Caenorhabditis elegans: one gene and its partners. The protein of the gene in region 1 purifies or fractionates together with the protein of each later gene. This does not show direct contact. Each region holds a gene or a part of one and is shown in the gene's direction. Other genes may lie near its edges.

What was found. Proteins that work in one complex are often made in the same cells at the same time.
Region 2: the proteins of clec-150 (region 1) and gstk-2 fractionate together in Caenorhabditis elegans (co-fractionation; one large-scale study listed by BioGRID). This does not show direct contact.
Region 3: the proteins of clec-150 (region 1) and dnc-5 fractionate together in Caenorhabditis elegans (co-fractionation; one large-scale study listed by BioGRID). This does not show direct contact.

The regions. Positions count from the first base shown.
Region 1 is NC_003281.10:999,130-1,008,297, forward strand, and holds clec-150 (C-type lectin domain-containing protein), read left to right. Parts: upstream 1-3,577; 5' UTR 3,578-3,597; coding exon 3,598-3,707; intron 3,708-3,983; exon of another isoform or gene 3,984-4,046; intron 4,047-4,455; coding exon 4,456-4,574; intron 4,575-4,637; coding exon 4,638-4,760; intron 4,761-4,806; coding exon 4,807-4,935; intron 4,936-5,757; coding exon 5,758-5,876; intron 5,877-5,922; coding exon 5,923-6,025; intron 6,026-6,134; coding exon 6,135-6,252; intron 6,253-6,773; coding exon 6,774-6,934; intron 6,935-6,980; coding exon 6,981-7,087; 3' UTR 7,088-7,169; downstream 7,170-9,168. Other genes in the region: trp-2 (Transient receptor ion channel domain-containing protein), read left to right, coding at 40-111, 156-233, 534-581, 650-691, 1,386-1,527, 2,467-2,595, 2,685-2,766; R06B10.7 (uncharacterized protein), read right to left, coding at 2,164-2,268.
Region 2 is NC_003282.8:7,238,354-7,243,844, reverse strand, and holds gstk-2 (Glutathione s-transferase kappa 2), read left to right. Parts: upstream 1-1,574; 5' UTR 1,575-1,589; coding exon 1,590-1,740; intron 1,741-2,339; coding exon 2,340-2,719; intron 2,720-3,188; coding exon 3,189-3,335; 3' UTR 3,336-3,400; downstream 3,401-5,491. Other genes in the region: elo-3 (Putative fatty acid elongase 3), read right to left, coding at 3,949-4,062, 4,470-5,147. UniProt on the Caenorhabditis elegans protein: Has roles in respiratory and lipid metabolism.
Region 3 is NC_003279.8:2,878,785-2,885,336, reverse strand, and holds dnc-5 (Dynactin subunit 5), read left to right. Parts: upstream 1-1,882; 5' UTR 1,883-1,896; coding exon 1,897-2,013; intron 2,014-2,975; coding exon 2,976-3,309; intron 3,310-4,312; coding exon 4,313-4,416; 3' UTR 4,417-4,461; downstream 4,462-6,552. Other genes in the region: arx-1 (Actin-related protein 3), read left to right, coding at 1,378-1,473; Y71F9AL.8 (Myb_DNA-bind_3 domain-containing protein), read right to left, coding at 4,482-4,568, 4,947-5,192, 5,784-5,886, 6,053-6,337, 6,388-6,504.

The DNA.
Region 1 (9,168 bases):
CCCCCCCCCCTCCCAAAAAAAATCATTTTTTCTTTTCAGAATATTTCGACGACACCGCCACATTGCCGCCGCCTTTTAACATTGTCCCATCACCAAAATCAATATATTACTGTAAGCCCCGCCCATTTTTTGTCAAGCTCTGCCCACTTTTTCAGGCCTACACTATTTGACCAAAAAGCTGTGCAATTGCACAAAACTACAGCAGCCGAGCAAGCAGAAAAGCATGCGGGTAGGTAGGAGCACCGTAAATCTACATAGAGAGTTTCGTAAATCTACACACTTGGCCTCGTAAATCTACATAGAGAGCCCCGTAAATCTACACAAATAGCCCCGTAAATCTACACACTCGGTCCCGTAAATCTACACAGAGAGCTCCGTAAATCTGCACACTTAGTCCCGTAAATCTACACAAAATCCTGTGAATCTACAGACATAGTCCTGTAAATCTACACACTTAACCCCGTAAATCTACACAGAGAGTTCCTTAAATCTACACAGGACCCGTAAATCTACACACAGTTTTTTTTTTGCAGAATCAAAAAATCTTGCGATCCGTCAACGACCGCGAAAACAACTACCGGGTAAGAAATTTCAAAATTTTCAGAAAAAAAAATACCGGAATTTCGGTGCATCGTACTAATATTTCCAGAGAACTGTGCGAAAAATCGCTACAGCGGAGCACAATTTCATTGTAATTTGATTATTGATTTTTTGTTGAATTTATTTTCTGTGAAATTCCGTAACTGTGAAGTTTTTGGGAATGGTTTGCAGTGATTTTTTGGAGAAACTAGTGGTTTTTGAGTTTTTTAAGTAAAAAATTCGAATTCGGCGTCACATTTTACCCCTAGAAACGAGTTTTTCAAGTTTTTCTGCAATTTTGCGTGAGATCCGGTGTTTTGGGGAGCTGTAGTCGGTGTTTGCGTACTTTTGGAGCTACAGTACCCCGGGAAAGTTGAAAATTTAGCTAGAGGCTCAAACTAAAACAACTTTAGACCGAAATTTTGCGCTGAATCCAAATTTCGTAGTGAATTTTAAAAAAATTTAGTTTTTTAGTGCAAAAAATTGAGTTTTCAAGTAAAATAATAAAAAAAAATAAAACTGATTCTAAACTAAATTTTGACCATAAATTCAAATTTCTCGTCATATTTCACCCTTAGAAACAGGCTTTCAGAGCTTTTCTGCAATTTTGCGTGAGACCCGGTGTTTTGGGGGACTGTAGTCGTTGTTTGCGTACTTTTGGAGCTACAGTACCCCGGAAAATTTGAAAATTGAGCTAGAAACCTGTACTAAAATCGGAATAGACCAATTTTTTGTGCTGAATTCGAATTTTTAGTTAGTTTTTCGATTTGTTTTGAGTTTTTTTTTTTTTTTTTTCTAATTTTCAGCACGAAACAAGAAAAAGACCGCCATGGCAGAGCGTCGTTTGAAAAATTCGGCGCTTTTACTGAAAGAATTCCCGGTGCCACAGATGTTCAAGGCCGGTCAGCGGAATATGAGCATCTCCTCGATTCAGTCAAACGGGCGGCTGTGGGTTCTAATTTTTGTTTAAACTTTAAAATTTTGCTGTATTTGAATTTAGCTTGCCGAGAGCTTTCAGAAAAGTGTAATCATGACTAGGCTCCGCCCATTTTGAGCGATTTCGCAATAAATTCGGGTCCCGCCACGAAAATTTCTGGGGTACTGTAGTTTTGGGAGGAAAAACGGATAAAATACTTTTATTGCGTCGTTTACTGAATTGTGTACATTTTAAAAGTAAAAATTAGTAAAAATCTCCAAAATTGAAAAAGTTACAGATTTTCGAAAAAAATGGTTTTAAAAAAATTTTGAAATATTTTAAAAATATTTTTGAATTCTGAAATTTTTGTTTTAACAATTTTTGTAAAAAAATCCAATTTTGGCTCGCCGAGAGCTTTCAGAAAAGTATAATCATGACTAGGCTCCGCCCATTTTGAGCGATTTCGCAATAGTTTGGGTCCCACCACGAAAACTGATGGGCTACTGTAGTTTCGGAAAATTCACAAGTGATTCAATTGTTTCGTAAAAATCAATAGTTTTTCTTAATTCTGCTTAAAAATTGGCCTAAAATCTTGAAAATTAACAAAGTTATGAATTTTCGAAAATTTTCAAAAACCAACAAAAAATTTGATTTTTTAAAATTTAAAATCAATAATCTACAATAAACTTACAATTAGGCAGATGAAAATTCCAATTTTTGCAAATTTTGAAGCTATAACGCTGAAAACTCGTACAGCTAAAAACTCCGCCCATTTTGGGTCCCACCGCGACAACCCAAAAGTGGGTGGAGCCTAGACGTGTTAGGGGTCATTTCAAAGCTCTCGATGAGCTGAATTTAATTTTTCTAGTAATTCAGAGTAAAAATCTCAAGCTCGGAAATATTTCAACTTTTTCGAGAAAAAAATATTTTTCAAAAAATTTTTTTTTTTTTTGAAAATTAACACTTTTTAGAAAACCATCATTCATGCCGAGCAGCTCCAAGTTGAGCTGGAGCAATCTGAAAGTGAAAGCTTCACGTCTTTCAAAATCCAAATCAATCGATACTACACATCTCGATGTTACCCGGTTACATGCGTTGAGGTGGGCTTTTTGAATTTTTTCCAGAAATTTTTCAAAATGTTTTTGTTAAAGCTAAAGTTTAATAACATGCTTAAAATATTATATTTCAGCAAAAAATCGCCGCTTCAAAAACAAGCCCATACGAGTTTCGACACCTCCAGTCTCAATGACGACACTGATGAACTTTTATGACAGTTTTTCCTATATTTAATAAATATTTTTGAATTTTAGCTAAAATTCAACTTAATTTTCAAATTGAACTCGCCGTGAGCTTTCAGAAAAGTATAATCATGCCTAGGCTCCGCCCATTTTTAGCGATTTCGCAATAATTTGGGTCCCACCAAGAAAACTCTTGGCTTACTGTAGTTTCGAAAGGAATTTGTTTTTTTTTTTGGTATTTTCAAGGCAAAACTGAATATTTTATCTAATTTTTGAGAAAAAAAATGAGCTCAAAATCTTGAAAATTAGCAGAGTTATCGATTTTCGAAAAAATCGATTTTTTCAAAAATTTGTGAAAAATATTTTTTCCAAATTTTTCTTATTTTTGGTAGGAACTTGCGAATTTCAATTAAAGCTCGCCGTTGGCTTTTGAAAAAGTATAATCATGCCTAGGCTCCGCCCATTTTAAGCGATTTAGCAATAATTTTGGGTCCCTCCACGAAAACTCTTGGGGTACGGTAGTTTTGCAGGGAATTTGGTTTTTAATATTTTATTAGCATGAATGAACATTTTATCTAAATTTTGAGAAAAGCCGAAAATCTTGAAATCTGGCAGAGTTATCGATTTTCGAAAAATTTCGAAAAAAAATTTTCGAATTTTTTTTTAGTTCAAAAAGTCAAGAAGTCAAAAAATCAAAATTTAAATGTTCAAGATATTTTTAGTATCTATAGTCTAAAACTCTTCACCTTATCAATATAAATTTCCGCTTTGAAAACGGCAGTGATACTTTGACACCCCACCCCGACTAAACTCCTATAAAACTTGACGTCTTATCAGTGATTCTGATCATTTTGGTTTGCAAATATGCTCCGGGAGCACATTTTCTCTGCTTCTCTATTGTTTCTTATCTCTGTGTCTGTTGGCTCGGCTGCCACGTGTCATGGGGAGGAAAAGTTGGATCCCAGTGGGAAATTGTGAGTTTGAATGGGATTATAGACGATTTTGATTTAAAAATTTGACCTCAGCACCAAAAACTCGCCCGGAACATTATATTGAAACAGTTTAAACTTAAAAAATATAATTTTCAGAATTTTCAAAAAAAAAAATTTCAAAAAAAAATTTTTTTTTTGGGAAAAAATTTTAGCGTCAAAATTTTAACAAATTCGAGTTCGCCACCTTTGATATAGCTTACATATTAATTTTCAGCTCGTTTGGAGCCAATGTCGTAAGATCCGGTGTATGGGGGGTACTGTAGTCGGTGTTTGCGTATTTTTGAACCTACAGTACCCCTTGAAATTTCAAAATTGAGCTAGCAGCCCAAACTAAAATGATTTTGAACCCAAATTTTGCGCTGAATACGAATTTAAACAGTATTTTTGTGTTAATTGCTTTTGAACACGAAAATTTTTATATTTTCATACATTTTCAAAGAAATTGATAGATTTTCCAAATCAAGGTTAGTTTCTGAAAATTTTCATGTTAAAGTTTGGACTCAGCACCTTAAAGTTACTCTAGTTCATAATTTTCAGCCTGATTGGAGCCAATGTCGTAAGATTCGGTGTATAGGGGGTACTGTACTCGGTGTTTGGGGACTTCTGAAGCTACAGTACCCCTCGAAATTTCAAAATTGAGCTAGAAGCCTGAACTAAAAGGATTTTAGACCCAAACTTTCCGCTGAATCCGAATTTTAATGTTGTTTTCCATTGATTTTAAAATTTTCAGCTGCTACGTGGTCCATACGGGCGCCGCATCGTTCCATGACGCTGAAAAAGCTTGCTATGACTATGGTGGCTACCACCTGGCCTCTGTACCAAGTATGATTGACAATAATTTCTTGTACAGTAAGTTTTAGACTTAAAAATTTGGAAAGAAAAATGTAAAAATCTAGGAAAAAAATATTTCAGACCTCTCTAGCAACTCGAACGTTTGGGCCAACTACTTTTGGATCGGGCTCACCGATATGACGGCCGATGGCTCGTGGGAATGGATTGATGGCTTGGATTTGGTATTTATGAACTGGGCTTCAAGTTGGTGAAATTTTAGGAAAAAAATATTTCCGAAAAAAAAATCCAGGCTCAACTGCCGGCTATTGCGGAGCCATGCGTGCTGCAGATGCCCGTTGGCAAGCCCAGGACTGCACTAAGCCTTATCCGTTCTTTTGCTATGGACCGGCTCTCGGAGCACCGACAAATCCTCCGAATAGTGGGTTTTTTTTTTCTAAAACTCTAACATTTTCAGATTTTTCAAGATTTTTTTGGTTTGTAGTTTATTGTATCATATTCAGCTCGTTATTAGCTTTAAAATAAACACCATAATGCCTAGGTTTCCACCATTTTGGGCGAATTTCTAAATTTTTCGGGTCCCGCCACGAAAACTCATTGGGCACTGTATTTTCAAAAAAAAATGGGGTTATTAGTTTTTCCAGTAAAATCTGAAAAGTTGGTAGCAGTTTGTAAAAAAAATCAATTTAAAATCGCTAAAATTTAAAAAGTTACGAATTTTCGAAAAATACTTTTTAAAAAATTTTAACGAAATTTTTGAAATTTTCGAAAATTCATAACTTTCTTAATTTTAGAGATTTTCTTTAAATTTTTTTAGTGGTAGCAAGATAACTTATTGATTTTTACCTAAATTTTAACATTTCTAGCAAATTTTTAAGAAACAAAGTACCCCCAGCAGTTTTCGTGGCGGGACCCAAAAATTATTGCGAAATCGCTCAAAATGGGCGGAGCCTAGTCATAATTATACTTTTTTGAAAGGTCTTGACACAAACAATTTTAATTTGATAATTTCAAAAAGAAATTGTTAAAACTTTCACTGAAAATCTAATATTTACAAATATTTCGCAATATTTTTTCGAAAATTTCAAAGTCCCTAAAAGTGGGCGGAGCCTAGTCATGATTATACTTTTTTGAAAGCTCTCGGTGAGCTGAATTTAGTGAAGTTAAAATGAAATGTTTACATTAAAAATTTTCAAGGGTCTCGCCACGAAAACTAAAAGCCAAAAAAATCACAATTTTTCAGCCCCCAAGACAACTCAGAAGCCTGTGAGAAATCAGGAAAATATGATAAAATTCATGGCTGATGCCGAGTCTGTTGGTGATCCAAATGTCGACCCAAATGCTTTGAGCTTTTACAATAAGGTTAGGCTCCGCCCACTTTTAATCGATTTTTTTTTTGAAATTGCAGGAGCGGGAATTTATCCGAGCGGTGACGGATTACCTGTTTGCAAACCCGACCAGTGATGGAAATACCTGTCTGTATTATATGTCACCAGCTTTTTATGGATTCAGTGAGTTTTGAAAAATATTGAAAAAAAACTTCAAAAAAAATTTCCAAAAAAAAAATTTTTTTTTCAAAAAATTTTTTCCCAAATTTTTGTCTGAAATTTTCATTTTCAGCCCAATATGAGCAACAATTTGACACGAGCCCAGCATGGAGCCACTACCAATTTGACAATCTCCTTGAGTCCAACGTTTGGGACCAGGGAAAGACTGACCATGACTATAATATTACCGAGTGAGCTTTTTTCAGATTTTTTTTGGCCTAAAAAATAAATAAAAAAGAGCTTGGAGAGTTTTAATTGAGCTGCAACAGCTCCCAATTCCTTTTTTACGAGCTTTCCCGATATATTTTCCGAGTTTTAGACCCAAAAATTCGAGCTCTCCACCTAGAAAAACCTATTACCCGCCTCGGGAAGTCGAACCCCAGACCTATTACTCCTTAGGCAAGGCTCTTACCGCCTGTGCCACTTTGCACTCCTGCTCAGTCACGCAGGCTACCGGTGTGGCGCAGGCGGTAAGCGGCCAGACTATAGTGAAAAAGGTCGGGGGTTCGACCCCCCGAAACTGTATTTAGGTTTTCTTATTATTTTTTAGTTAAAACTTGAAAAATAGGGTAATTAATTCGTTTCACATCAACTTTTTCGATTTTATTTGAAATTAATTTTCACAGATAGCTATGATATTTTTGCAACTTTTAATCTATAATTTAGCTAAAACATCTCAAAAACTAGAAAAACTTTAAAACTCAAATTTTAGCGCAATAACCGGTGCTCAAAAGTTTCGGTGGGTCCCATCGATGAACAACATCGGCTACACTACGTTGGTATTTTTGACGGCTCGCCGCGATTTTTCCGGAATTCCGTCACTTTTCCAGCCATTCCCAAAGTTCGATGAAGTCGTCGTAATATCCTTGAATGGTATGGGTTACTGTAGTTGAGTTGCAGGTGATTACGGTAGTTTCAGGGTCCCAAATGCCAGGAATCCCGGCTGGAGTCAAAAATGTCGCGGTTTCGAATGATTTCAGCAGTACGGATATTCAAAATGTTATCAATGTTTTAAAATGTCATTAATTTTTAATAAATTTGACTATTTTACCATAGAATTCGAAAAATGTTGTCCTAAATTAGTTTCCTCGTCGGTTTTTCAAGTTTTTCACCTAAAAATTTGAGCTCTCCGCCTAGAAAAACCTAAATACAGTTTCGGGGGTCGAACCCCTTACCTTTTTCTTCATAGTCAAACCGCTTACCGCCTGCGCCACCGGTAGCTTGCTTGCCGACCGCCACGCAGCAGCGCAGCAGCCTGAGTGCAAAGTGGCGCAGTAAGCAAAGTGGCGCAAGCGCCTTGCCTATGGAGCAAAAGGTCTGGGTTTCGACTTCCCGAGGCAGGTAATAGGTTTTTCTAGGTGGAGAGCTCGAATTTTTAGGTCTAAAACTTGGAAAATTAGTTCTAAACCCAAAAAAACAAGATCAAACATTCAAAGTTCCAGGGATAAAGCTTTCAATCTGAGATTATCTACACTTTCGGCTGCATCGAAGAAAACTCACGCCCACTGGAGATTAGCAAAGAGAGGGGAGCCTCGGGATTTGTATAAAACTTGCCGAAAACTCCGTTTTTCTTCATTTTATTCTTGTTGGCTCAGAGTAAGAAGGTAGCGAGTCGAGGACGGGGAGGGAAGGGACGCTGAGAGCCCTTCTCTCCTTTTTTCATAAGTTGAACGAGAGCAATTTTCGAGGAGAGCATTCCCTACAATGGAACCCAATTGGATTTCCAGACTCATTTGTCCTGAGTAAGTCGTTTTTGTTTTGGTTATTACCGAAATCTGTCCGTTTTCAGGGAACTTGTCGCAATAACAGGAACCAATTGGCAACTCTATTGTGGGGTTACGTGGTGCGCTGGGCTTCCATCATGCTGGCGACCGCACCCCTTTTTAATTCGTTAACTTCCATCTTTTTTAATGAATATGGGCAATAAAAAGGTTTTATTGTTAACTGAAGTTGTTTTTCTTTTCTTTGTTTTTAAAACAAAACTCAAAAAATTTGGTTGAAAACTAGTTTAAACAATAATTTTGCGCGTTTTTTTACTGAAAAATTCGAGCTCTCCGCCTAGAAAAACCCAAAAACAGTTCCAAGGGGCCGAACCCCTGACCTTTTTCACCATAGTCGAGCCGCTTACCGCCTGTGCCACCGGTCGCTCGCGTGCAGGGGTAGCATTGGCGCGTGAGTGTAACGTGGCGCGGGCGGTAAGCGCCTTGTCTATGGAGTAATAGGTCTGGGGTTCGACTCCCCGAGGCAGGTAATACGTTTTTCTAGGTGGAGAGCTCGATTTTTTGGGTCTAAAGCTTGGGAATTTTAACGGGAAACCTTTTTTCCAAGACCTTCAGACTACTTTTCGTTTAATTCGGAGGCAGAAAGCATTTATTTTAGGATGAAAGTATACAATTAGTCATTTGTTAATCTGCAGTAACCAGAGAGAATATCGGATTATAATATTCAGAAGGGATTTGGATGATAATGCCAGTACGTGATAAATAGCAACACTGCTTGTTAGTTTATATTCGGCACGCACGTCAATAGGCAGATTTTCCGCGCAAGATTGTGTAATCAAAAGCCCTTTATAGCCCCCTTTTTATGAGATCATGGGTATGAGATCGGCAAATTCTGGGCGTTTGGTCTTTGGGAAATGAATTTAATTAAAAACTCTTATAACCTTTCTGGAAATTCAATTTCGCTGCTAATCCGAATATTTAGCCAATTTCCTATGCAACTTAATAACAAAACCACTGCTAGAACTTCAATTTCCCAGTGTTTTTTCATGAATTGAGAATTCTTTTTTCTTTCATAAAACTGTTTAGCATTTTCAAATGTACCAGAAAATACCAAAAAAAGTATGCTAGCTTCAATGTTTTAAAAAATTCAGAAAATGCACCAAAAGCAGTTATTTTCAAAAATTCAAAAGTACGGCAAAATCATATGGAGCGATTATTTTTTCTTTCATAAAACTGTTCAGCATGATCAAATATACCAGAAAATTCCAAAAAAGTATGCTATGTTGTTCGGAAATTTATTTTAAAAATTCAGAAAATGCACCAAAAGACCGAATTTGAACCTTATATATTGTTCAACATAATTTCAACAATTGTAGCAAAATTTGA
Region 2 (5,491 bases), on another chromosome or scaffold:
AATTTGAATCACCGCGATGACAAATTCCTTTTTTTTACTTTTTTTTACTTAATTTTGCTTATTTATTTTTGCTTATTTTTGGACTTCTCAATTGTTGATTCAAATTTCATAGCCAATTTTTTTAAATTGAATTTCCTTGTTGGGCCAGTAAGATCAACTTAATGCAAAACCCAAATAAATGATACTAAAAATATTTATTTCTTCAAACTTTGAAACAATTTGCACTCTTTATGAACCAAAAGTCAAGAATGTGGCAAACATTTGCGAGTGGAAGGCAGAGAATTCGATAAGAAGAAAACAAAAATGAGTTCTAGATCTGAACTGTTAGTTTTCACATCATTATTGTTTTTTAAACTTTTCAGATATAGTTTAATTGGAAAACTTATCATAAAATGTAAAAGTTTTCCAATTAAATTTAAAAACAATATATTCCAGTTGTTTTTTCCAAAAGCCGGAACATTTTCGGAACAAATTATTCCAATCGGATTATTTTCTATTTCATTTTCTTTTTTTTTTCTCCGAAACGTGAACTTTATGAAATCCCAATTCCACAACCCAAAGTACATATTTAACCTCCAACAAACAACACAATTCTGTTCCCTCTTTTTCACCCGTTTGCACTTTATTTCTTTTCACTCACCTCGAGTCACGTGATCTCCTTCTAAGAACTGAATTTCAAAAACACAAAATGTTGTTTTCATCCGTTTCTATTTCAGCCCTTTATGTTTTTATTGAACGGTGAAAAGATCGGATCATTTTTACACTGGCTACAATTTTATTTTTTCTCATTTGTTCGTGTATGTCATATACCTGCCTGCCTGCGTGCCTTCTTAGCCCCTCGATTCTACATTCTAACATAAAATGAGCTGGGTGGTGTACACACATGATAAATTTACGTTTATCTCCCTTTATCATTTAAATTGTTTTGTTAAAAGTTCAATTAAGAAATGGCAGGTATTTTTGTGCGTATTTGGAATAGTCATAAAGCATTTAACCAAACTTCTTTCCTGAAAATATTGTTCATTGTATATTTTCATATCTTTTATCCAAAACAACTAAATGCTCAAAAATCGCACATCTGGTTATCACGTGCGGTTAGGAAAAATAGAAATCAAATATTTAGAGTACCCAAGTTTTTTTCCAAACAAAATCTATTTTTATCGTGGTCATTTGCAAACAATTCTACACTTTGTTCACTAGACTTGAGACCAACTGTTTTTTTTCTGTTTTTTGTCCGCTGATGCTCCAATTGCTCTACCACGTGTCTGTGCTCCTATCAACTCATTGGTACCTCCCTTGATGTTTACACAAATATCTTTTCTTTCTTCTCAACTCTATCATTATTGTCTGGCCAACGTGATTCGGCTGTTTTTTTTTTTCGTGCCTAATTATTTTAAAAAAAACTTTTCTACAAAATAAGAATTTTCAGAAATCTTAAAAGCGTCCCGAAGTAGTTCAAGTTGTTTTAGTACTGGAGCTCATTAAGGTTTAGAAAAATCATAAGCTTCTGTTTTTTTTTCGCTTTTTTGTCGAAAAATTTTAAAATAATTGCTGAATTTTCATGAATTTTGCAGACTTCAAGTTTCAAAATGCCGAACCGAAAAGTGGTCAAATTCTTCTTCGATGTCATTTCTCCGTACAGTTACTTTGGATTCGAAGGAATCACTCGTCATCGTTCCGTTTGGAAGACTCCAATTCAGATGAAACCATTCTTTTTTGCTGGTGTTGTCAGACATACTGGTGAGTTTTTGTATTTTTGTCTTGAAATTTCTCTAATATCCGTAAAAAAATGGAATTAGCTTTTTTAAAGTAAGGTTTTTAAACCATGACCCTCTAACAATTCCGTTTGAAATGTCAAAATAAAAGCTTTCAATTTACTTCTGGAAAAGGACATGCAAAACCTTAAGAAGCCTGTATGTTATTATTTTCTAAAAAATGCACCTCTATCTATTTATATCATAAGGTCGGCTACTTCTACTTCTTAAAATCTGCTTTAATCTGACGAAGGGCACTAGAATAGATAAATACACTTAAATAGTTCAACAATAGTTCAACATTATAATAGTTGAACATGACATATATTAACATAATAAGACAATCCAAAAATTTCAGGATTTTTCAAAATGATCAGTGAACGTTTTGATAAGTTGCCAAATGTCCCTAAAAGGACTATTTGAAAGCAATTTCGAGACATTTGGAAAAGTGATATTTGGTAATTTTATAAGTATAGGAGCATTGATAAATAACATAATTGTTTTGAAAATTTTTTTCGAATCGTGCTAATCATCAGAAAGTTGTTTGATATGTACCTTCTAAATCATATAACTGCAAGTTTTCAGAAAACCCCGGTCTCCCACTCCGTATTCCTATCAAAGAAAAGTACATGCACAAAGATTTGCTCTTCTCTGCCCAATATTGGGGAATTCCGTTCCGTCTTCCCAAGGACTACACAAATATGATGTTGAACACAAGTTCAATCGTTCCACAACGTATTCTTGTCGCTTCACAACTCCGTGATAATGTTTTGATGGAAGACGTTGCTCGTGGACTCTGGCATCGATTTTATGCATACGGAAAACCAATTTTCACAAAAAGTCAAGTTGCCGAAGTTTTGAGAGATTTGCATGTAAAAGATGTCGATGAGTTGGTGATGATGAGTGATTCGGCAGAAGTTAAGAACATTTTAAGAGAAAACACAGATGAAGCCATCGGGAATGGAGTAGGTCATTTATTATAGGAACCCAGAAAAACACGGAATCGACGAGAAAACACGCTCCACAACCAATTTAAAACGGTCCGCCCCCTAACGATGGGTCTCGTTAGGTATTTTCCGTTAAACTTGAACGTTTTTGATTAGGCTCGACAATTTTCTAGAATTAGTCTTTCTGTTATATTTTTCGAAGTGTTTAATGATTTCAACATCGAAATGATGTCTAAGAAAATTATGTGAATTTAGGGCGTTTTCACTTATCATAATAATTTTATTTCATCTATTTCAACCGAAAAAACATCAAAAACTACGAAAAATATAACAAAATAGACGACGAACGCAAAATTCCTAACGAGACCCATGGTTTAGGGGCGGAGCATTTTCAGTTGGCCCCGGAGCGCGCTTGCGCGTCGTTTTAAAATGTTTTTTTGCTGTTTTATAATATTCTCAATTGGGAATTAAAATTAATTTTTTTCAGTGTTTCGGAGCTCCGTGGATGCATATCACTGATGGTCACGGAAAAGTACTTCAAACAGTTTTCGGATCGGATCGCCTTCCACAGGTGGCCGATTTTCTTGCCGAGCCATTCAAGGGTCCAATGAGAGAGAAGAAGCCGAACGCATAAATTGTCAGATTAGCATTCTAAAAAGTGTCTAGAATTTTATCTGAGAAAGAATAACGATTAAAATTAATTCTTTCTTTTGTGTTGGCAAGAGAAATACAGAAAACGATGGAAAAAATGTGGAAACAAAAAGACTACTAATCTATTTCACACGAGTTTCAATTTGTTGCGGCAATTACAGAAAAAAAACGGAGCAAAAAAGAAAGAGCATAAGCTAACGAAAACTTGGGGTTGGTTGGGGGGACGAAGGGTGAGAGATCTGAGTATGTGTTAGTTTTGCGTGGCCTCTGATGATTAGCCGAATATAAATAAGGGAAAGCGTAAAGGTTTGATAAAAAGTAAAAGAGAAATTTCAAGAAACGAAAAATAATATTACCGGTACAGAGAGTGTAGATAGTTAGAGAGTGACAGACATCCGGGACCCAATGGGGCGGGGCGCGCGGAAGAGACGATTTGTGTCGATTTACGAAATTTTCCTCGTTGTCATTATTTCGTAAATCGACACAAATCGTCTCTTCCGCGCGCCCCGCCCCATTAGGTCCCGGATGTCTGTCACTCTCTAACTATCTACACTCTCTGTACCGGTAATAGAGAACAAATAACAATCTGATATTTTCTAATCAGCTTTTTGAACTTTTCTTCGTGCGGCGGCGGACCTCGTTGTGATGGATGGCTCAGCGATGTTAGCATTGATATCTTCTTTTGGCTCCAGAATTTCGAAATCAACAGGCTGAAAAACGAATTATTTTTTTCCAAAGATTTTTTAAAAATATGCTCATAAGTCAGAATTTTCCAAGTTTCCCAGCAAGGGTAACGGGTTTTCCATTTTTTACTGAAATCTAACAATCGAAATGTTTTTTCGATTTTTCTGATATTTCGAAAAAATTCGATTTTTTCCAAATAGAAAAGTTAAAATTGTGGTCATTTTTCTTCTTGGAAGAATAAGTTCATATGTTTTCTTATGTTTTTTTCCATCAACATTAACAAAATTTGATGAAAATTGAATTTTATAATTATTTTCTGAACATTGCCGATTTTTCGATTTTCTTGAAACCTTTTTTCTCAGGTAAATTAAAACGAGATCGGGGAAATTTTTTGAATTATTTTCATAATTTACTGTACCTAAAAGATGCTCACCTCTTCCTTTTCCTTCTTATCTTTCTTAACTTCGGTATAACGGTTGTTTTTCTTAACATATGCATGGTAGAAGAAGTTGGCGAAAAGAAGGAAATATGTGAAATAAACTCCAAAGCATAATCCCAAATTGTCCCATGTCTGTTGGCAGTATTCACCCGATGACTTGATACGGTAGACAGTGACTCCGATGATTACTCCCATAACCATTTGAGCAAGTTGGAGAGTAGTAACAACCATTGCCATTTGTTTTGGAAGACGGAATTTCAGAGAACGAAGAGCATAGTAGGAATACATAAGAGCATGAACTCCATAATTCATCCAAATGAACCACCGTCCTGATGCAGTGTGATCCTTGTACGCGTGCCATGTGTAGATCATAACAGTTACATGATGATACCAGTGAAGGAAGATGAGTGGACGTTTACGAAGAACGATGAAGATTGTGTCGATGAGCTCGAAAAGTTTGCTCATTGCGAATTGTTCAGTCCAGAAACCAGTGACTCCTTGAGCATAAGATGAATGACAAATTGAATATTTGAATGAGTTTCCTTCTGCTGACCAACTCCATACAAATTCAGGTGTCATTCGGAGGAACCCGAGAATTGAGAAAATGGCTAAAAATGAATTCCAGACGAAGAGTGGTGTGTCCAGTTGGAAGGGCTTGTACTTTTCCATAATCTGAAACATTTGAGAACTATTAAGTGATTTTCGGTTTCGATTCTTAATTGCATTCTGAAGGCTAGACTCAAAAGTAATAACTCGTGATTTTTTGTAGATGAGAACCACCTGCTAAGCAATTACTTTAATGTCGATATATTTTCGGTTATGCTTTAAAATATGTAACGCACCTAGGAGGCTTCTGAAACGGAATTCACAGTTTTTGGGAGTAGAGGTTGTGTTTTCTATAGTAAAAACTGGTTAGAAACTACCGAATTCATGATGAGACTTCTCAAAAAAAATTCTAAAAATTTTTATGACAAAAATTCCGAAAAAGTCCAAAATTTGAAATTTTGCCAGCTTTT
Region 3 (6,552 bases), on another chromosome or scaffold:
GTAAACTTTGAAAAGTTGATTAAAAATTAATAAATTGAGCATAAATTTTTAAAAAAAATGAGCATAAATTTTGAAAATCTCAAAAAATTGCTATTTTTTCCGAGAAAATGCATTTTTGACCGAAATTTTGGTACTTTTTTTGCAAAAAATATCAATTCTTTCGTTGAAAATAATTTATTCGAAAATTTGAATGAAAATTAAACTTTTTCACTAAAAAAAACTATATTTTTTGAATTTCGTAAATTTTTTAAAAAAATCGATTTTATTATTTTTTACTAACCAACTAATTTTTCCAACAAAAAAAATTTAATTTTCGATTTTTTCTGTAAAATTCCCAAAAATAATTGATTTTTTTTGAGAAAAATTTCAAAAATTCGGATTTTTATTCGAAAAATTAAAAAAAAAAGTTTTATTCAGAGCTTCGAATGAAATTTCTGAAATTTGTATTCCAGTTACCTCAACAAATTTTTAAAAATTTATATTTTTAATTTTTTGGCAATTTTTCAAAACTTTTTAAAACTCAAAAATATCCAAATTTTCAGTCGGAAAAAAATTGAAAATTTTATTTTTTTTTTGGAAATTTTTGAATTTTTATTCAGAATAAAGTCATAAATTCCCCCGAAATTTGAAAGTGAAAAAAATCAAAAAAAAAAAAATTAGATTTCGAATTTAAGAAATAAAAAAATTTCACTGAAAAACTATGGTTTTTGAAATAAATAAAGCACTATTTCTGAACAAGTTTTGAAAATTCAAAAAAAAATCGATTTTTACTAGCCAACTAATTTTTCCAAAAAAAAAATCTAATTTTTGATTTTTTTTTCTTTGAAATTCCCAAAAAAAAGTCAATTTTAAGTTTTATCCGGAAATTATATTTTTAATTTGTTTTTCTTCAAATTTGCAAAACTTTTTGAAACTCAAAAAATTGAAAATTGTTTTTTTTTTTGGAAACTTTTTAAAAAATTTTTATTCAGAATAAATTAAATTCTCCCGAAATTTAGTGAAAAAAAACTGTAGATTTCGAATTTAAATTAAATTTTAAAAAAATCGGTAGAATTCGAAAAAAAACAAATGTTTCCGATTTTTTCCAAAAAAAAATCTAATATTTGATTTTTTTTTTTGAAATTCCCAAAAAAGTCAATTTTAAGTTTTTGAGAAAAAATTGAAAAAAAATTTTATTCGGAAATTATATTTTTAATTTTTTTTTGGCAATTTTTCGAAACTTTTTGAAACACAAAAATAGCCAAGATTTCAGTCGGAAAAAATTGAAAAATGAAATTTTTTTTGGAAACTTTTTTAAATTTTAATTTAGAATCAATTAAATTCCCCCAAAATTTAGTGAAAAAATCACCAAAAAAACTATCAATTCCAAATTTTCAGTCGGAATTCTACCAAGTTTCACACACAAAGGCCGAATACATGGAGAGAGGACCATCGATTTGTCGTTACAATCCAGTTTTCGGAGCTCTTACTTAATTTTTTTTCTCCATTTTTTTGTATTTTTTCCCTATATATTTTCTCCAATTTTAATCCCTTCTCCACGTTTTTTTCTCTCTAATTCCCGAAATTTTTGAACACACATTTCACTTTTTTTCATCTTATTCTGGGCGATTCGTGTATGTACTTATTATTTTTATTTCCAAAAATTACCAATTTTTTAAAACCTTTTGAACGAAAAAATTCTCGAAGAAATTTGATTCCTGCGCCCCCAATTTTTTTTCTTAAATTGTGTTTTTTTGCATGACTATTGCTTTAATTTATTCCCCCGTTATATATAAATTCCCTTATTTTTGTAGTCTTTTTGGAGAAAAATTCCGCTCGATTTGAAAAAGTAGAACTCTTTTGTGATATTTTTGAATTTAAAAAAAAACTAGAAAAATTTCAGACGCTGATTTTCAGATGGATCTTCCAATTGTCTACTACGATGAGACGGAATGGGCGAAGACGCATACGGGAAATAAAGTGAATAAGAAGCATGCAATTGCTGGAACACAGAATATTTTAATTGCTGGAAAAGTGAGAATTTTTGGAAATTTTTAGAAAAAATTCAGTGTTTTCCAAGTATTTTGAAAAAAAAAAGAAATTAAAAAAATAGCGCAATATAATTTTTCTAGATTTTTGGAATAAGCTATACAAATTTTTTGGCAAATTCGGCAATTTGCCGGAATTTAAAATTTCTGGCATATTTGCCAAACCGGCAATTTGGAAAAAATTTAAATTTTCGGCAAATCGGCAAATTGGCAATTTACCAAAACTTAAAATTACCAACAGTTTGGCGAAAATTAAAATTTCTTGAAAATTCGGTAAACCGGCTGAAGATGAAAATTCCGGCAAATCAGTAATTTTCCGAAAATGAAAATTTCCGGCAAATCGGCAAGTGGGCCGGAATTGAGCATTTTAGGAATATTCGGCAAACCGGCAAATATGCCAAATATTCAAACTTCCGGCACACTGGCAATTTGCCAAAAATTAAAATTTCCGTAAATTTGCGAGAAAAAAAAATTTCCGGCAATTTTCCAAAAATTAAAATTTCCGACAGACCGGCAATTTTCCGAAAATGAAAATTTCCGGCAAACTTGACAAACCGGCAATTTGCCGGAATTTAAAAATTCCGGCAAATAGGCAATTTGACAAAAATTACAATTTTCGGCAAATCGGCAATTTTCCAAAAATGAAAGTATTCGGCAAACCGGCAATTTTCGAAAAATTGAAATTTTCCGGCAAATAAGCAATTTGTCAAAAATTGAAATTTTCGGCAAACGACAAACCGGCAATTTGTAAAAATTTAAAATTTCCGGCAAACCGGCAATTTCCCAAAAATTCTAATTTTTGGCAAATTCGGTAAACTGTCAAGTTGCCAAAATCTAAAATTTCCGGCAAATTCGGCAAACCGGCAATTTTGGTACACCGGCAATCTGCCAAAAATAAATAGCCGCCCACCCCTGATTTGAAACATCAAAAAAAGTGAAATTTTGCAGACAATAATCGAGGAAGGAGTGACAATTCGCGGTGATCTGGCGACAGTTAAAATTGGAAAATATTGTGTTCTAAAGTCTCGATGTAACATCCGTCCATGCATGAAAATATTCAGCAAAAAACCAACAATGTGCAACGTTATGATTGGTGATTATGTATTTATTGAAGAAGAATGTGTCGTCAATGCCGCTCAAATCTACGCATTTGTACATCTTGGAGCTCGTGCGGTGCTCGGAAATGGTTGTGTGATTCGAGAATGTTCGAGGGTTCTTCCGGATACTGTAGTTCCAGCGGACGCACTTTTTCCACCGTACTCAACGATCGGCGGGAATCCTGGTCAGTATGCCGTCGAAAAAGCGAAAATTTGAAATTTTCCTAATTTTTTTGAGAGCCGGAAAATCGAAAAACTGGAAAAAAAACGTTTTTAAAAGCACAAAAATTGCCTGTGATGATTGAAAAATTGGAATTTTGACGGAAAATCGAAAATTCCTAATTTTTCGAACTTTTTAAGTAGGAAAAATCGAAAAAACTGGAAAAATTGAGAAATTTCTTTCAAAAAACATTTTTAAAAAAACTGAAATTATTGAAAAATTGGAATTTTGGCGAAAAATCGAAAATTATCGATTTTTCTTATTTTTCTTATTTTTCTGAGCTCCCTAATTTTCAAAAAATGGTAGAATCGCTGTGTACTCCCCGAGGAGAAGTTTTAATTTTATTCTACAGTAAATTTTCAGTTTTTGACTCGATTTTTTTCATTTTTGGACCATTTTAGGCTTTTCAGTTTAAAAAAGGAAAATTAGAAAAAATTTAATGAAGATTCAATTTTTATTTTAAAAAAACACATTTCTTTGAAAAAAAATGGCCGGATATTATCGAAAATTTGAATTTTTTACCAAAAAATCTGAAATTTTTTTTTGGATTTTCTAGAAAATAAAACTTTCAGAAAAAAATGCAGATTTATCAGAAAGAATTTCTCAAAAATTTGAAAAAAATTTCCGAAAAATCGTACTAATCGAAAATTTAAAGTTTTTTTTTTAATTTTTAGAAAAAATTAAAATTTTCAATAATCTCCGGTAGTTTCTTAATTTTTTTTGGAAATAAATGTTCTTTAAATTTCTCGATTTTCAAAAAAAAAATTTTTTTTCCAAAATCGATCATTTTTGCTGAAAACTGATTTTTAAAATTTTGAAAAAAAAAACCTCCTCGAGGACTACACCGGCAGTTCTTCCATTCTCCAAGAAATTTTTGAGCCGCGAAAAGAAAATGAAATTTCCGGCGAATTCGGCAATTTTCCAAAAATTGCCGGAATTTTTCCAAAACAAAATCAACTCTTTTTCAGCTCAAGTGGTCGGCACTGAACCCCGTTGCACCGAGAACCTGATGATGGAGGCCATAACGATGTACTATGATAATTTCGTACCGAAACAACGAGCTATCGCATAATTTTATTGTAAATAAAACGGGATGATTTCAATAAATAATTCTTAACATTGGAGGGGCGAGCATGATCAACAATGAACAATATAAAGTGGCAACAATTTGATGGACATTTCCAAAACTTTGTTCATTAGCAGAATGTAGTTGTCGGTGGACTCCTGGAAATTTAATTTTAATTTTTTGAAAGGATTTTAATTTAAAATACTCAAAAACTAGTCCCAAATGCCAAAAAAGAAAAAAAAACGAAAAAATTCGGATTTTTTACGCCTAATTTGAATTCTCGCGCTTTTGTCTCTAAGTTCCGCCTATAAAAACCGTGCCGCACTCTGGTTTTTTCAATTTCGACACAGATTCCTGTTTTTTTTTTCTAATTTTCAATAATTGTTTAACATTGCTGACCGTATTCTTAATTGAAAATTAGAAAAAAAAACAGTGCGGCACGGTTTTATGGGCGGAGTTTAGAGACAAAAGCGCGGCGATTCAAGTAAAAAATTCAGGTAAATCGAGAAGTTTTCAATTTCTCGGAATAAACTCACATCAACACAAACTGTCACATAATACTCAAAAAATTGGAAAAAGCAAAAAACGGCACGAATGATATGCTGATTGGTGAATCTTTTGTGTAGCTCTTCGCGTATTTTACGGAAATATTGCATGCGAAGGTGGTTTTCAGTGAACTTTTTGACATCAATCATTATCCAATCGGCTTTATTTGGATCGTCGAACATTTTTCCGTACAGGTGGTCTAGATTTTGTTGGTTCTCGAGTTCAGCGAACATTTTCTGAAAAAAAAGAAACTGTATTTTATACGAAATTGTGTCATTTTTAGGGCCAAAAATTCCAAACCAATCAGCGAAGGTGGGCGGAGCCAGGCGCTGATTGGTTTGAAGTTCCTCTCCGATTTTTAATTTTTTTTTCCAAAAAAAAAACGAGAAGTTCCGTTTTAAGTGTTTGCTTAAAGCCAAAAACCGGAAAAAAATGTTTTTCTTTTCTAATTTTCACAAAATCAAAGAAAATTAGTGTTTCTCTTATTATCCAGACGCGAAATTTCGCACCAAAAATACGGTAGCCGGTCTCGACACGAAAATTTTTGTCGAACACAAAAGGGTTTGCGCCTTTAAAGAGTACTGTATTTTCAAACTACTCTTTTCTGAGGAGTTTTCATAGCTTTTCGATTAAAAAAACACACGACTTTGAGAAAAACTGAAAAATTGGTGGAAAATTCCACAGCTACAATAGTTCGAAATTACAGTATTCTTTAAAGGCGCACAACCGTAAAAATTGATTGAAAAAAAAATTGTCGTGTCGAGACCGGGCACCGTATACGACCGTACTTCACATTTAAAGGTACATGCATCTTATCTTTGCTGTACCTTATTGAAATCATTATTTTCAACAGTCTGTCGGATCAAATCGTTAATTGCTTGAGCTGCTTGGCCGGCTATTTTTCGCATTTCCGTCTTCCAATTGTGTGATCTGAAAATATTTCCTCAATTTATTTATTTCCTGCTGCAGAAAAAATGAGAGAAAAAAAAGTTTTTTTTTAATTTAAAAAAAAATCGATGTTTGTTGGTTTTTCGGAGCAAAAACTAGTTTTTTTGGCAAAAAATTCGATTTTTTGTGACATCTGTGGAGTATTCACCTCTGTGGAGGCTCTTCTTGTGGAGGCTCTGGCTCCACAATTGTCGAAGCACAAGAACTTTCGAACACATCACGGGATAACTCATCATTTCTTTCGATCCGTTGAGTTCTTGCTCCAGGACTTTTTGTTTTGCCCAATTGTGCTGCGCTGGTCGTCGGAGCCGTCGGAGCCGCTTGAAGCTCCAAGCTTGCGACCTTTTGCACCTCAATTTCAGAATTTTTCTCCACCGGGCGGCTTGCAACTACTTGCACGATTTTCACGGTTTTTACTGCCAAATTTCGAATGCTAAAAACATTTTTTTTAATTATTTCATGTTTTCTGAAATTAATAATTACTATTTTCGAGTCTCAGCACCGAGTCTTGACCCAAAACGTCTCTCAAGTGAAATTAAATCCGAAGATTTCAAATGTCGAGAGTAATAATCGATATTCGGGACAATTTGACGTCGCATTCTGTAATTAATTCCATATTTTTAATCGATTTTTTCTAAAAATTCGCAC